3 linked regions of the Neurospora crassa OR74A genome follow. The protein of the gene in region 3 binds, or shares a complex with, the protein of the main gene of each other region. Links are inferred from orthologs where the notes say so. Each region holds a gene or a part of one and is shown on either strand. Other genes may lie near its edges.

Region 1 (4,225 bases), on a different chromosome or scaffold from region 3:
GGGAAGCTTCGTGTTCTCGTCCTGAGACTGCGAGAAACTCCTGGAAGCCGAAGCACGGCGCTCGTTGGGCGAGCCGGTGGATGCTGCGACGGCAGACATGGTCGTCTGCTGAGGGCTGGATGTTGAATGACCTAGCCTGAGGGGATTGGAGGGATGCTTTGGGTGCTGGTGTTTCACAATGGGAGGAGATGCTCAAGATGGTGATAGAGAAAAGCAGTAGATTTGGTTCCAATGGCGACGAAAGACACAGATAAATAGAAGCTTGGGGGCGAGATGACCACAAACCGCTTTTGAGAGAACACGGTTGGTGATGGCACCGACAAGAAGATGCAGAAAGAGAAGAAGCCTTAGAAATATGTGTTGATATAATGGGGAAAAGAGAAAGAGCTCCAAGAGCTGGTCTGGGACGGAAGAAAGAGTGTAAATGTGCCCGAGATACCCGTACTTTCAGCTACAGTTGCCCTGAAGTTGGACCTTCTCGCAAGGCAACAGCAACAAACCTCTTGGTGACGATGGACGCACCGGTCAGAATAGGGCTAGAGGTAGGTAGGTACCTCTAGGGTAGGTATGAGCCCGGGATGACCGAGACTAAAGTCGAAATGGTGGACCCTTGGCTCCCGAGGGAGGAAGGCACGATGGAACTGTGACCGGGACTGCCCAGGTGTCACTGCCCGGACACTCCAAGCAAAAAGGGGTTCACGATGCCTGTGAGATAATCCGCAATCTCTGTGATCAAAGCTCACTTGGGCTGCCATCAGATGATCTGACGAGTGAACGCACATCGGCTCGTCCATCCGAAGATCGGAATCGAATATGATGAGTCGCTGGGGAAGTTGCGACCGGTATTCCAGCTAACGATCATCGGCCTTTGGCGTCGTGCCTCCCGTCCTTGTGCCTAGCGGGATCCTTATCACCAAGCCGAAGTTTTTCACGTGTCGCGGGGACGTCGGGCATGATGGTCAACCGAGCCAGCGATGAGACATCCTGCCGCGTTAAGGACCTTGCTGTCCGGCTGCCACTTCCCATACGATCAACGGGTTTCTGGGTTAGGCGTCCGAGCCCCAATGACATATTCCGAGTTCATTAGGCGGTATTCATACCTAGGTGTTCATGTCACCTGCCATTCGGTGTGATCTACCATTCTTCGTCGGAATGAAAATGAGTAGAGTAGGTAGGGAAGCATGCAACGTCTGGAAGCTTCAACAAGACAGCACCATCACCTAGCATCGTGGACATTAACAGATAGGAGTGGCGGGTCGGCTTTTCTCGTCCGGTAGGGCTGGGATGCCAAGGTCTTTGCAAATTATGGTAGGTGTGATTAGCTTCCTTTCCTATCCATTTTTATTTTGGAAAAGGCTTGAAATGGAGCAGGAAGAGCCAGCGCACCTTTTCACATTCATGGCGTTCTTTGACATGGACGGCTTGTGCAAAGATCTTGGGTGATCCGACACTCGCTTGTTGTTTTCACCCAAATGATCAAAGCTGTTCGTAAAGAGGGACAATGGCGAAGGGTCATATCCTCCCTCAAGCCCATCCGCGCTATGGAATCAAGATACGGTATCTTCAGCTTATCAACAGGCGCTTCTTTGTTCGATGCATCAAGAGACTTGTGTAGACGCATGGGAGGACAGTCCCGAGATGAACCTTTGACAAAGCTGGTAACCACAAACCTGCTTGTCGAACTAGGCGGCTATTCAACACCATTTGAAGGGGCAAGTGCCGCGGGCGTCGCTAACCATATGTACAGTTGTGGCAGCACCTCGTCACGGGGAGACTGTGATGGCATCAAGTACTGAGCGGAAAAATGCATGTCGAAATGGACCAACTGCCGGAGGAACGCCAGGTATTCGGGGTATATGATTCTAGTCCGCCCACTATATGATACATGTACACGTCGTGTAGTTCTGATTTCGGGACGCCGTGTCTTATTTCTTCTTCTTCGCATCTGTCGCAGAATATGAACGTTAGAGATTTGAACCGTGAGTAAGAGGTGCAGACGAAACCCACCGGCCGCCGAGGGTGCCGTTCTCTTCTTCTTGGGCGCTCCCTTGTCGCGGGCTCTCAGACTGTAAGGTATGGTTAGATTGTGATGTTTGCAAGTAAACACTAGCAGGAATGAGAGAGACGAACGCTGCCAAGTGCTCCAAACGATCATCATCGACCTCATCGTCAACCTCGAGACCAAGAGTACCGAACTCCTTTTGAAGCTCGCGAATACCGACGTTCTTGCGGGGGTAGTAGGTCGCAAGTGCCGGGCCCTTGAGTCGCTGACGCAGGATCTTGTTACCGGTCCGGATGCCTTCGGGATTGAAAGTCGTCGAGAAGAGCTCGCAACGAGCCTAGGTATAACCTAGTTAGCGAACTGGTTTTTCCCCTCATTCGGAACTGTTCCATACCTTCACAAGTTGCAGTAACCGCGCCCGTGGGACCGACATCTTGCCGTTACATGGAATTGCGGATTCGCGAATTCTAGAAACAGCAACAACAAGAGCCGCCGGATTGTTCGACGTCGTTCAGAGATCTCCCGCTCCAGCCCGTCAAGCAATGCGCCACCAATCATAACCATTCATGGGTACAAAGAGTGGGGCACGGACTGCAACCGTTGTTTTCGAGCCGCAGTGTCCCCGGGCCGTCAGCGCAAGCCCGCTGATGAAGCCGAGGGCGGCGCGTTCCAGGGCTGACAGGCGCTAAGAATGACAGCTACGGGCCATAACAGGGCAGCAGCAGCGCCCTGATGTGGATCTGGGGTCGAACAGGGGGTTAGGGTTTCCACTACGCAATGGCCCGGGATTCGTTCTCATCTTGAAGAATCCGTTTTCGATTCTGCCTCTACAATTTCATCGCCGCATCAACGCGCGATCTGAGGCATTCGGATTGCTTGTAGGAAAGTACAATCTTGCCATGCCGAAACACGGACCCACCCCGGAGGAGGTATCAGAACCGCCCTCCAAGCGTGCGAAGTCAGACTCTGCACCATCCGCATCACAAGGCGCTACATTGGAGTCCGCAACCTCCGTCCAAATTCCTTCTTTGCATGCCAATACCAAATGGACACTCGCTACCATCCAGAGAATGCGGCCACCGCTCCCCGACATTCTGGACCCGGCACTCAAAAAGGCGGCGCTCACACACCCTGGTAAAGCTAACAACGACCCTGTTGCAAGTTATGAGAGGCTGGAGTGGATTGGCGACGCTTATCTTGAGCTCATCGCCTCCTCCTTCATATATCAAACTTTCCCGACCTTGCCGGCTGGCAAAAGCGCACAACGTCGCGAGATGCTTATCCGCAACACCACACTAGGCGAATTCTCGGTCTATTACGGCTTGGACAAGATGGCCGATATCCCGGAAGAATTCAACATGGAGGGCAGAGTGGGCGGTACAAACGCAAGTCAAAAAGTCAGAATTAAGATTCTCGGAGACCTTTTCGAAGCCTATGTAGGAGGCGTGATTCTTTCTGATCCTGCCAATGGGATTCAGCGTGCTTCAGACTGGCTCAAGGCCCTATGGGGCCCTCTCATGGCGGAGTACATCCGCGAGGAAGAGAAGAAGGCCAGGAAGCCGGAGCAAAAGCAATCCGCAAGTGGCCAGACACTCGACCCAAAGACAGTACTCGAAGCTACCATTGGAGCCAGGGGTGTCAAGATCGAGTATAAAGATCTCCCTTCCAAAAACCTGAAGGACAGGGGAACCAAGCTGCCTCTTTTCGCTATTGGCTGTTTTATGACAGGCTGGGGGGAGACCAACCTGCAACTTGGGCACGGAAGTGCTTTGAGCAAGAAGGAAGCTGGTCAGAAAGCAGCTCAAATGGCCTTGGATAACAAGAAGCTGCTCAAGAAGTTTGCGGACAAGAAGGCGGAGATGAAGGCCGCGCGGGAAGCCCAGCTGCAGCAGGCAGGAGTGACGTTCCCCTTGAAGGATCAGCCTTCGGCACAGGAAACCACTGGCGGCGTGCTGTAGCGACCAAGTACTGTTCGGTCTCATATGCCCCTGATCTTTAATACTTCGACACACCAACCATCACATGCCCGTAGTCTCGTGGTTTACCTCGGGCGTCGGCCATGAGAAGGACGCATAGCAGATGAATTAGGCCATTCATTACTACGGGTAAACGACCCGGGTTCAAGGGAGGACCAGGGACCGTTTCGTTTGCACATACGAAGAGAAACCACAACGAACAAGCTGTGGCCAAAGTCGATGATGAACCATCTTGTTCATCCACAGG
Region 2 (3,738 bases), on a different chromosome or scaffold from region 3:
CGGTCACGGTGCAGGACTGTCTGCTCTACTGATGAGAAGGGATGGGGAAACGGTGGGTGGTTTGCCTGAGTGTGAGCGGAATGGTGGCATGGCAGACCAAAGGATGATACTATCTTAAAGGGGCGGCAACAAGTGGTTACTTGCTCAAGGAGGAGGATATCAAGAGGATGATGCATCGATGGATGGATGGATGGGCAAAGGGTCGGCAATCAAGGGTCCAACACGGGAACGGTGCAAAAGGGGTTTGGGGTCATCGGGTCTTCTTTTCTTTTTCCTTTTTTTTTTTCCTTTTTTTTTTTTTTTTTTTTTTTTTTTTGCGCTTGGCGTTCAGGAGGCGCCGTTATGGAAGATTGCCATCGTCCTGTTTGCTCTCAGTGAACCCGTTATGACTACTAGTCTAGGCTAAAAATAATAATACCTGGCGATACTAGCATATTTTTATCAATTACAAAGCATAATTAAACTACACACTACACAACATATACATGTTCATCTTGAAACAACAGACACAGCACAGTAGTATGAATCCAAGCGAAAGTTCTAATTTGCCCCAAAATATGATATGTGTACAGAAACCTGTGCCCTCCTCTGACAATGGTATGGTATGATACAGATAAGCAACGAAAATATGCTTTTTTGTTTTTTGCCGAAATAAACGCCGCCCACAGAAAAAACGTGTCAAACCCGCATCCATCAATCAATCGACTTCTTCTTCTCTTTTCTTCTTCTTCTTCATCATCATCACTGAAGAGACGAACGAAGTTTGGTTTGTCTATTTCTTCTTACCCCAGATGAAGGGCTTGCGTGTACTGTTTGAGGTTTTGAACCATTCAGTTAGTGTCGGTCCAATTGTTCATGTCCATATGCCCAATGTGTGTCTTTTGTGTTGTTTGTTTTCTGCTGACCACACTGCACCACCGCCTACGATCATCATCATCCCGTGGTGGCGTCCAACACATGTCGCCCGTCCAGCCATTCATGGCTTGCCACCAGCCAATGCCATGGCCATGCCGTGTCAGACCATTGAATTTTGTGTAGGAAAATTCTTTTTTTTTTTTTTTCTTTTCCCACACCGCCAACATTTATGGCATTTCCGCCGCCATCTTAAAAAAAAAAAAAAAAGGAAAAAAAAAAGACCCTTTAAAAAAATAATATATTGAAATTGAAAAATAATAGTCAAAGAAGGAAAAGAAAGGAAAAAAGTAGACTAGTGAAAGTAGGGGAAGAAAGAACCAAAAAAAAAAAAAAAGAAAGAAAGAAAGAGCACTTACGCAGAAAACTCTCCAAGCTTATGCCCCACCATCTCCTCGGTGACAGTCAAGTCAATGTAGTCCTTGCCGTTGTGTACCTGGAACTTGAGGCCGACAAAGTTGGGCAGGATGGTGGCGGACCGGGCCTGGGTGCGGATGGGAGCGATCTTCTTGCCGGGCTCGGGGCGCTGGATGGGGAGACTGTTTTGTGTGTATGCGTTGGTGGTTAGTGCCCGTTTGCGCTCAAGATAGGTGACTATGCTTGTAGCGTTGCGGTTGGATTCGGTTGGACTGCGTTGGTTCGCGGATGGAGGGGAATGTCGCGGGATGGGCTCGTAGAGAATGATGGACATGCGCCGGCAGCTTTGATCGGGAGCAGGGAGGAGAGAGAGTCCTCGGGAGTGCGCCGGCGCATTGAATTGTCGTCGTCGTCGTCGTCGTCGTCGTCGTCGTCATTGAGATCGCGGGGACAGAAACGAGGGGAAGGGGTAGTAGAGCTTACGGGACAATGTGCGGACCTGGAGTCGGCGATGCGGGTTAGCTTGACTGTCTTGGACGGCGCAAAGAGTACATTATCGCAAGGTGAAGCTTAGGAGGAGACAAAACAAAATAACTTACCCTTCCACACGGATCTCTTGAAAAGAACCCTTGTTGGCTGCATGTTGGGCGCGAACGAGAAGGAATTCGGTGGTGATGGGTGGTGGCTGCAAATAGCGGGAAGAGGCCGGGCGCGTACGCGACACTCGGATGGTCTTGAGATCAATCGGTCGGTCGGTCGGTCGGTCGGTCGGTCGGTCAGTCAGTCGGCGAGTCCGGCAGGCGGGCGGGCGGAGCGGTTCCAGGTATCACGGCGACGGCGGCAGTGACGGGAGCGCTGACCACGGCCGAATTTTGGAACTGCCAAGCTTATCGGTTGCCGGCCGGCATACCTAGTACGGACGCCCCCGCTGACTCTCCCCCCTGGCTACCTATGTACGCAGTAGGTACTTCTACAGGGTTAGGGGGCATTCATCAAAGCGATTATCGATACAGCAAAAACCCCTGCACGGGTAACCCTGTCTATCGATATCTAAAAGCAACGCCCCCATAATTACACTACGATGATAACCCTCTAAACACCTCTTTTTGTCAAGGTAACCTACCGTCAATATACAGATGGATGTCAACCCTGCAGTGGAGAGGTACGGAAATCTTCAGTCAAACGGCACTTGCTTAGTGAGCAGAGAAAGCGGGGTCTACCTGATGGCAAAGATCAATTAGCATCCAATTTGTGTTATCGTGCATTTCTTGGGTGCGCAAGAAGAAGAAAATCTATGCACGATACTGCTGAATCTAATGCTATGGTGGTGTGACTCGTGCACCACACCCTACAGGTACCTACCCCTGTACTGGCAAGCCCCCCTGCTCGAGCAGCACTTGGGGCCGAAATCTTGGTGTTACTCGAACTAGGATACAGCAAGTATTATATGACTTACATACCGTTTAGCAAACCGGCGGCACTGGTTGGCACTCTCAGACACTTGCTGCCCGTGCTGCCGTCAATTGGTTCAGGACTAACGCGACTGCGATACTCCAAAACATAGCATCCCGGATTCCGGACTATTGGCATTCTTGGTGGTGGCCGATAACCGGCGTGCGTCCGTCGATTCCTGACTGCAGCTCAGTGGTTCACATCGATCGTGCACTCCGTCTTCTTCAGTGTTGCTCCTTCCTCAGCATTTCAAGTTCCATACACCTCGCCACCACTACAGTATGTATGATGTTTGTACATCAATGTAGGACGTAGTGTAGGTAGTTTAAGGCAGGCGTGAACTGCCGTGCTGTGCCTTGCCTTGCCTTGCCTGGGCATGGACTGGGCCGTCATGGATTCTTCGTCTAGGCAAGAGCGCCACCGCAGTCAATATATCTATCTGGCCGTGGTTTCCCGTTCGCGTTCACAACGACCTTCTTTTTGGATTTCACCATCCGTCACTCTTTTTTTTTTGTTTTGCGCATTTGTGGGTGTGCTTGCATCGTCGATGCCCTCAGACGAATGCCCCCCCTCCCTCTGGTCGGTCTGATCAACATTTGATCGGTTCACCAGTCTGCGCGCAAAGTCCGAGAAGGGCACCGCATTCGTTCTTCCCGCGAGCCACCTGAGAACAGGGCTGCATTTGTTTACTATCCAGCCAGCCATGGAGTTCCAACTTCCATCATCATCATCATCATCATCAAGCAGCTCGACTGCTGCGCAATTGTTTGCACTAGCTACCCATCAAGATCAACCGTTCCCGGAATAAACTAGTAGGGAGCACTTCCCGTCCCTGGGTGTCTGAGTGTGCCTTGATCAACTTGTCGGACTACCGCAAATGCGGACGAGTGCCTGAGTATCAGTGTTACCCGTCTCTTCACATGATCTAATGCTCTCCAGATCCCTCCTCTTTCGGGCTGAACGGTCACTATAACGGCATGGTGCTCCACGAGTAATTCTACCATCATAACGAGACGC
Region 3 (3,526 bases):
GACCAAAAAACCTGCCACTAAATCTGCAGCACCATCTGCGGCTACGACACCGAAACAGTCTCGTGCTGGTTCAGCTGCGGCCAAGGCTGAGCCGGTTCCCAAGGCAGAAGAAGCTGTTGAGGTGCCCCTCCCCACTGTGACGGAGACTCCTCAAGAAGTTGCTCAGCCGGTAGAGGAAGCCACGGAAGCTCCCCAAACCCCCACTTCTGACGTTCATGTTGTTAAGGAGGAGATGCCAGCCCAGGAGACTGAAGCCGCCCCCTCGTCCGCTGCCGAGGTTGTTGATACCACCGATGCTGACATCTAGGAGCACGGCGAGGAGAAGTCTGCCAGCACTTCGGAATTTAAGCACACTTCTGATTCGTAAAAGGAAGCCAGAAATGGTGGATGTGATCGCTTTTTGGCCTGTAGAGTCTTTTTTAATCACCCCTATTACTTGTTCGAGACAGTGAAAGAGGGGGATGCAGTGTTACTGGGTTAGCACATTTCATGATACCTTTGTAGAAAGACCAATCACACATTTGTAAGAAAGTTGGCGAAGCATGAAGTATGAATGCATAGCAGATAGTGGGTTGTACAGCACCCTGGAGCAGGATGAATCGATCCCTTTTCTTATCAATCTTGGTGATATCTGTTTCCACGGTGAGTGCTGATGATTTAGTTGTCATGCATAGATCATAGCATACAGGATGCCAGCTCGTTGTCTTTCTTGGCCTCATACCTCATATTCACATAGCAAGAACCAAGGATGAGCTCTGCTTTGCCAATGTCTATTCCTTTCCATGTTTGTCCAGTCTTGCTAAGTCGTCTAGTGTACAATGGAATCACATCCGTATCGTACACTGCGCACAGAAATGGTTGGCTCCAGTTCAGGTTTGAGATCCTCCCAAAGTGCGGTGACTCTTCCTCCTCTTCTTCTATTCCTCTCGCTTCCTTCCCAACAATGCCTTCCTTTCACCGAATTCATGTCCTATCCCCACCGTCCATCCTTGAGACCCTCCTCCTTCTTCTTCTTCTACCCATCTATTTTACCTTGCACAAAACCAGCCCACCAACTTTCCTCTCCACTGCCTCCCTAACCTCCAACACACCTCTATCAGTGTTCACAAACAAACACTCGCCCAACTGCAACCCCTTCATGTATCCCGCGGGAAAGCCCCTCGCCACACGGTTCAGCTGTTCCAGGGAGGCAGTCACCAGCCTCGACGGCTTCGAAATCGGCTTCAGCTCCTTCAAGACGGGTTCCTCGTTCCAGTACTTGAGTCCCACCCACAACCGGCGCGTGGCCACGTTGGCACTGGTCACGGGCTCGGGCTCGTAGGTCATGAGGGCCTCGGGCGTGGGCGGGTGAGGACCGCCCCGCGTGATGGAGGAGATGAAGCCTGCGCGGTGCAGGGCCAGGGCCAGGGCGAGGTTGTACTTGGTGTTGGGCAGGGAGGTCAGGCCCAGGCGAGCGCGCGAGGCGTTTTGGAGGTGCGAGCACATGTTGGTGATTTGTTGAATGCCCATTTTGAAGGTTTGATGATGCCCGTGTGGGACTTTTGTGTTGCTGAAGAGAGAGAGAGAAAATGGTATGCACTGGGTGATGGGTTATAAAGAGAGAGAAGTCGGCCGTCGTCGCGTAAGTCGTCGGGTCGATCGGCTGGTATGGCTTGGTCCGTCCGGTGTAGAAGTGCTCGGGAGATGCGGCGGCGAACTGGGGACCTTGCGGGATGAAGAGAAGGATGATGCGGGATGAAGAGAAGGATGATGCGGGTGAGGAATCGGTGCTGCAGCGACGGGGCGTCTTGAGGTTAGTCTAGGCGTGCCGATGAAGATTCGCGGGACAGAAAAAAAAAAAAAAAAAAAGGAAGATTGCAACGCACAACCAATCGGGAGACCGTAGCTGTTGCGCACAGTCGGGTGGCCGTCACGGGTCGGTGGTCGTGATGGAGGAATTCGGACTTCGGAGGAGCCGTAAAAACAAGTGGAGGTTTCGGGACTCGCGAATGCGGCGCGCAACGGGGTCCGGATGCGAATTGCGGTTTCGAGGTCTCGATCGGGATGGCTCCGTTAGGTAAGTTGTGCTGCCGATTTTTTGTCCCCCTGCTGCTCTGTCCGCTTCTGCCGTACGGCACTACGTACGGGCTGGCGGGCGTGCGTGCGTTTGCTTGGCCGCCGGGGCCGTGTGGAGGACGGACAGGGATGGTTCGAGAAAAGACCTCAGGCTGAGCGTTGAAAGAGTGAATGACCTCGGGCAATGACCTCCACTGTGCCTTGCACGAAAGTCACTGCAAAAGAGACCCCTGCTGCCCTGAAAGGCCTCCCGTCCCTCCGCCAGAGAGACCAGAAGGTGTCTGTCCGGTGGGGCTTTCTTGGTAGCTCTCCAGGTTTATTGAGGATGGATCCTGCTTACCCCACCTTTTTTCTTGTCTTTCCCTCCCGCTCCTTTCCCTCCTCGTCAATTGTGAAAGAAGGACTGGAGAGTGTGACAATTGACTTGCTCGTGCTTCTTTCTTGGCATCCCACCTTAAGCGCCCAGGCGGACCATCCAGTGACCATCCAGGACGATGCAACCACCAGGCAAGGTCACCTCTACCGGCACTAGGGGTCGCATCACCGACCTATCGTGCGCGCTGGTTGGATGGCTGTGTGCTGATTGCGCCATGGAGTGAGAGCCGAATGTGAAGAACCAGACCACGGTCTCCTGCAAGGGTATGTAAGAGGTAGGGTACTATCGCAAAGACGCGGAAGCCGAGTGGCTTTTGTTTTCTTTGGGTTCCGTCATCTCTGATATTAGGCGTGATAGCCCTCGGGTGGGAAGCTGAGAAAGTTTGCTGTCTTTCAGTTCTCTCAATCCTTTTTACCGTTGTTGTGTTGTTGTGTTTGTTCACTCAAGCGAGTTCGTTGATCACAAAAGATGGCCGCCCGTGAGGGAGAGGAGAACGTCGGCACGTTGTAAGTTTGTCTTCCGTTGATCCCATAAAGAGGTGATAGTTCCTGGGCGCATTCTGACTGATTGATTCGCTGCATAGCTTTGGTGATATTCACTACTTCTACGGCCCTCCAACAAATAACCCGCCTCATCACAGGTTCGACAAGGGCTCCTATGTATACCTTTTCGAAGATGCCAACTTGGGCCGCGCACGGCTGGAGATTGCGAACCAACCTGGAAGGGAAGACCAGGATGCTTTCGATGGCTGTAAGCATTAGGATTTAGAGTGAGAGCTCGAGACGACAGTGGGAAGGCTAACATCATGTGTCGCCAGACCTCGACAAAACCCATCTCGAGTACGATTACAACCACACCTGCCTTGTAACTTTGACGGTTGGCGAGGTCGAGGGCTACGAGGAGTGGCATCTACCAACATACGACCCTCACAATCAGGCCAAGTACCATTACAAGCTTCACTCGCTCGACATTTACTTTCACAACCATCAAGATGCTCTGCAATTCGTCAATGGCATCCGACGTGTGCTCCCTCCGCACCAGTGCGATGTCCACAACGAGCCAGGACCACCACCTCGGCACGATACCGAAGTCAGC

Evidence for each region. Proteins that work in one complex are often made in the same cells at the same time.
Region 1: NCU02951 (region 3) and NCU01761 share a complex: the UniProt entries of both Saccharomyces cerevisiae proteins name them as parts of the mitochondrial small ribosomal subunit. The link is inferred for Neurospora crassa OR74A from reciprocal best matches to the Saccharomyces cerevisiae genes MRPS8 and RSM27.
Region 2: NCU02951 (region 3) and NCU08728 share a complex: the UniProt entries of both Saccharomyces cerevisiae proteins name them as parts of the mitochondrial small ribosomal subunit. The link is inferred for Neurospora crassa OR74A from reciprocal best matches to the Saccharomyces cerevisiae genes MRPS8 and RSM19.

The regions. Positions count from the first base shown.
Region 1 is NC_026502.1:2,520,168-2,524,392, reverse strand, and holds NCU01761 (hypothetical protein), read right to left. Parts: upstream 2,640-4,225; 5' UTR 2,436-2,639; coding exon 2,397-2,435; intron 2,340-2,396; coding exon 2,131-2,339; intron 2,067-2,130; coding exon 2,008-2,066; intron 1,946-2,007; coding exon 1,926-1,945; 3' UTR 1,387-1,925; intron 1,295-1,386; 3' UTR 521-1,294; downstream 1-520. Other genes in the region: NCU01760 (pumilio-family RNA binding repeat protein), read right to left, coding at 1-99; NCU01762 (nucleolar RNAse III), read left to right, coding at 2,902-3,960. UniProt on the Saccharomyces cerevisiae protein: Component of the mitochondrial ribosome (mitoribosome), a dedicated translation machinery responsible for the synthesis of mitochondrial genome-encoded proteins, including at least some of the essential transmembrane subunits of the mitochondrial respiratory chain.
Region 2 is NC_026502.1:3,811,244-3,814,981, reverse strand, and holds NCU08728 (mitochondrial 37S ribosomal protein RSM19), read right to left. Parts: upstream 2,291-3,738; 5' UTR 1,912-2,290; coding exon 1,869-1,911; intron 1,769-1,868; coding exon 1,753-1,768; intron 1,452-1,752; coding exon 1,272-1,451; intron 810-1,271; coding exon 773-809; 3' UTR 521-772; downstream 1-520. UniProt on the Saccharomyces cerevisiae protein: Component of the mitochondrial ribosome (mitoribosome), a dedicated translation machinery responsible for the synthesis of mitochondrial genome-encoded proteins, including at least some of the essential transmembrane subunits of the mitochondrial respiratory chain.
Region 3 is NC_026501.1:8,605,733-8,609,258, forward strand, and holds NCU02951 (mitochondrial 37S ribosomal protein MRPS8), read right to left. Parts: upstream 2,301-3,526; 5' UTR 1,866-2,300; intron 1,770-1,865; 5' UTR 1,510-1,769; coding exon 1,024-1,509; 3' UTR 571-1,023; downstream 1-570. Other genes in the region: NCU02952 (hypothetical protein), read left to right, coding at 1-307; NCU02950 (hypothetical protein), read left to right, coding at 2,900-2,937, 3,015-3,181, 3,249-3,526. UniProt on the Saccharomyces cerevisiae protein: Component of the mitochondrial ribosome (mitoribosome), a dedicated translation machinery responsible for the synthesis of mitochondrial genome-encoded proteins, including at least some of the essential transmembrane subunits of the mitochondrial respiratory chain.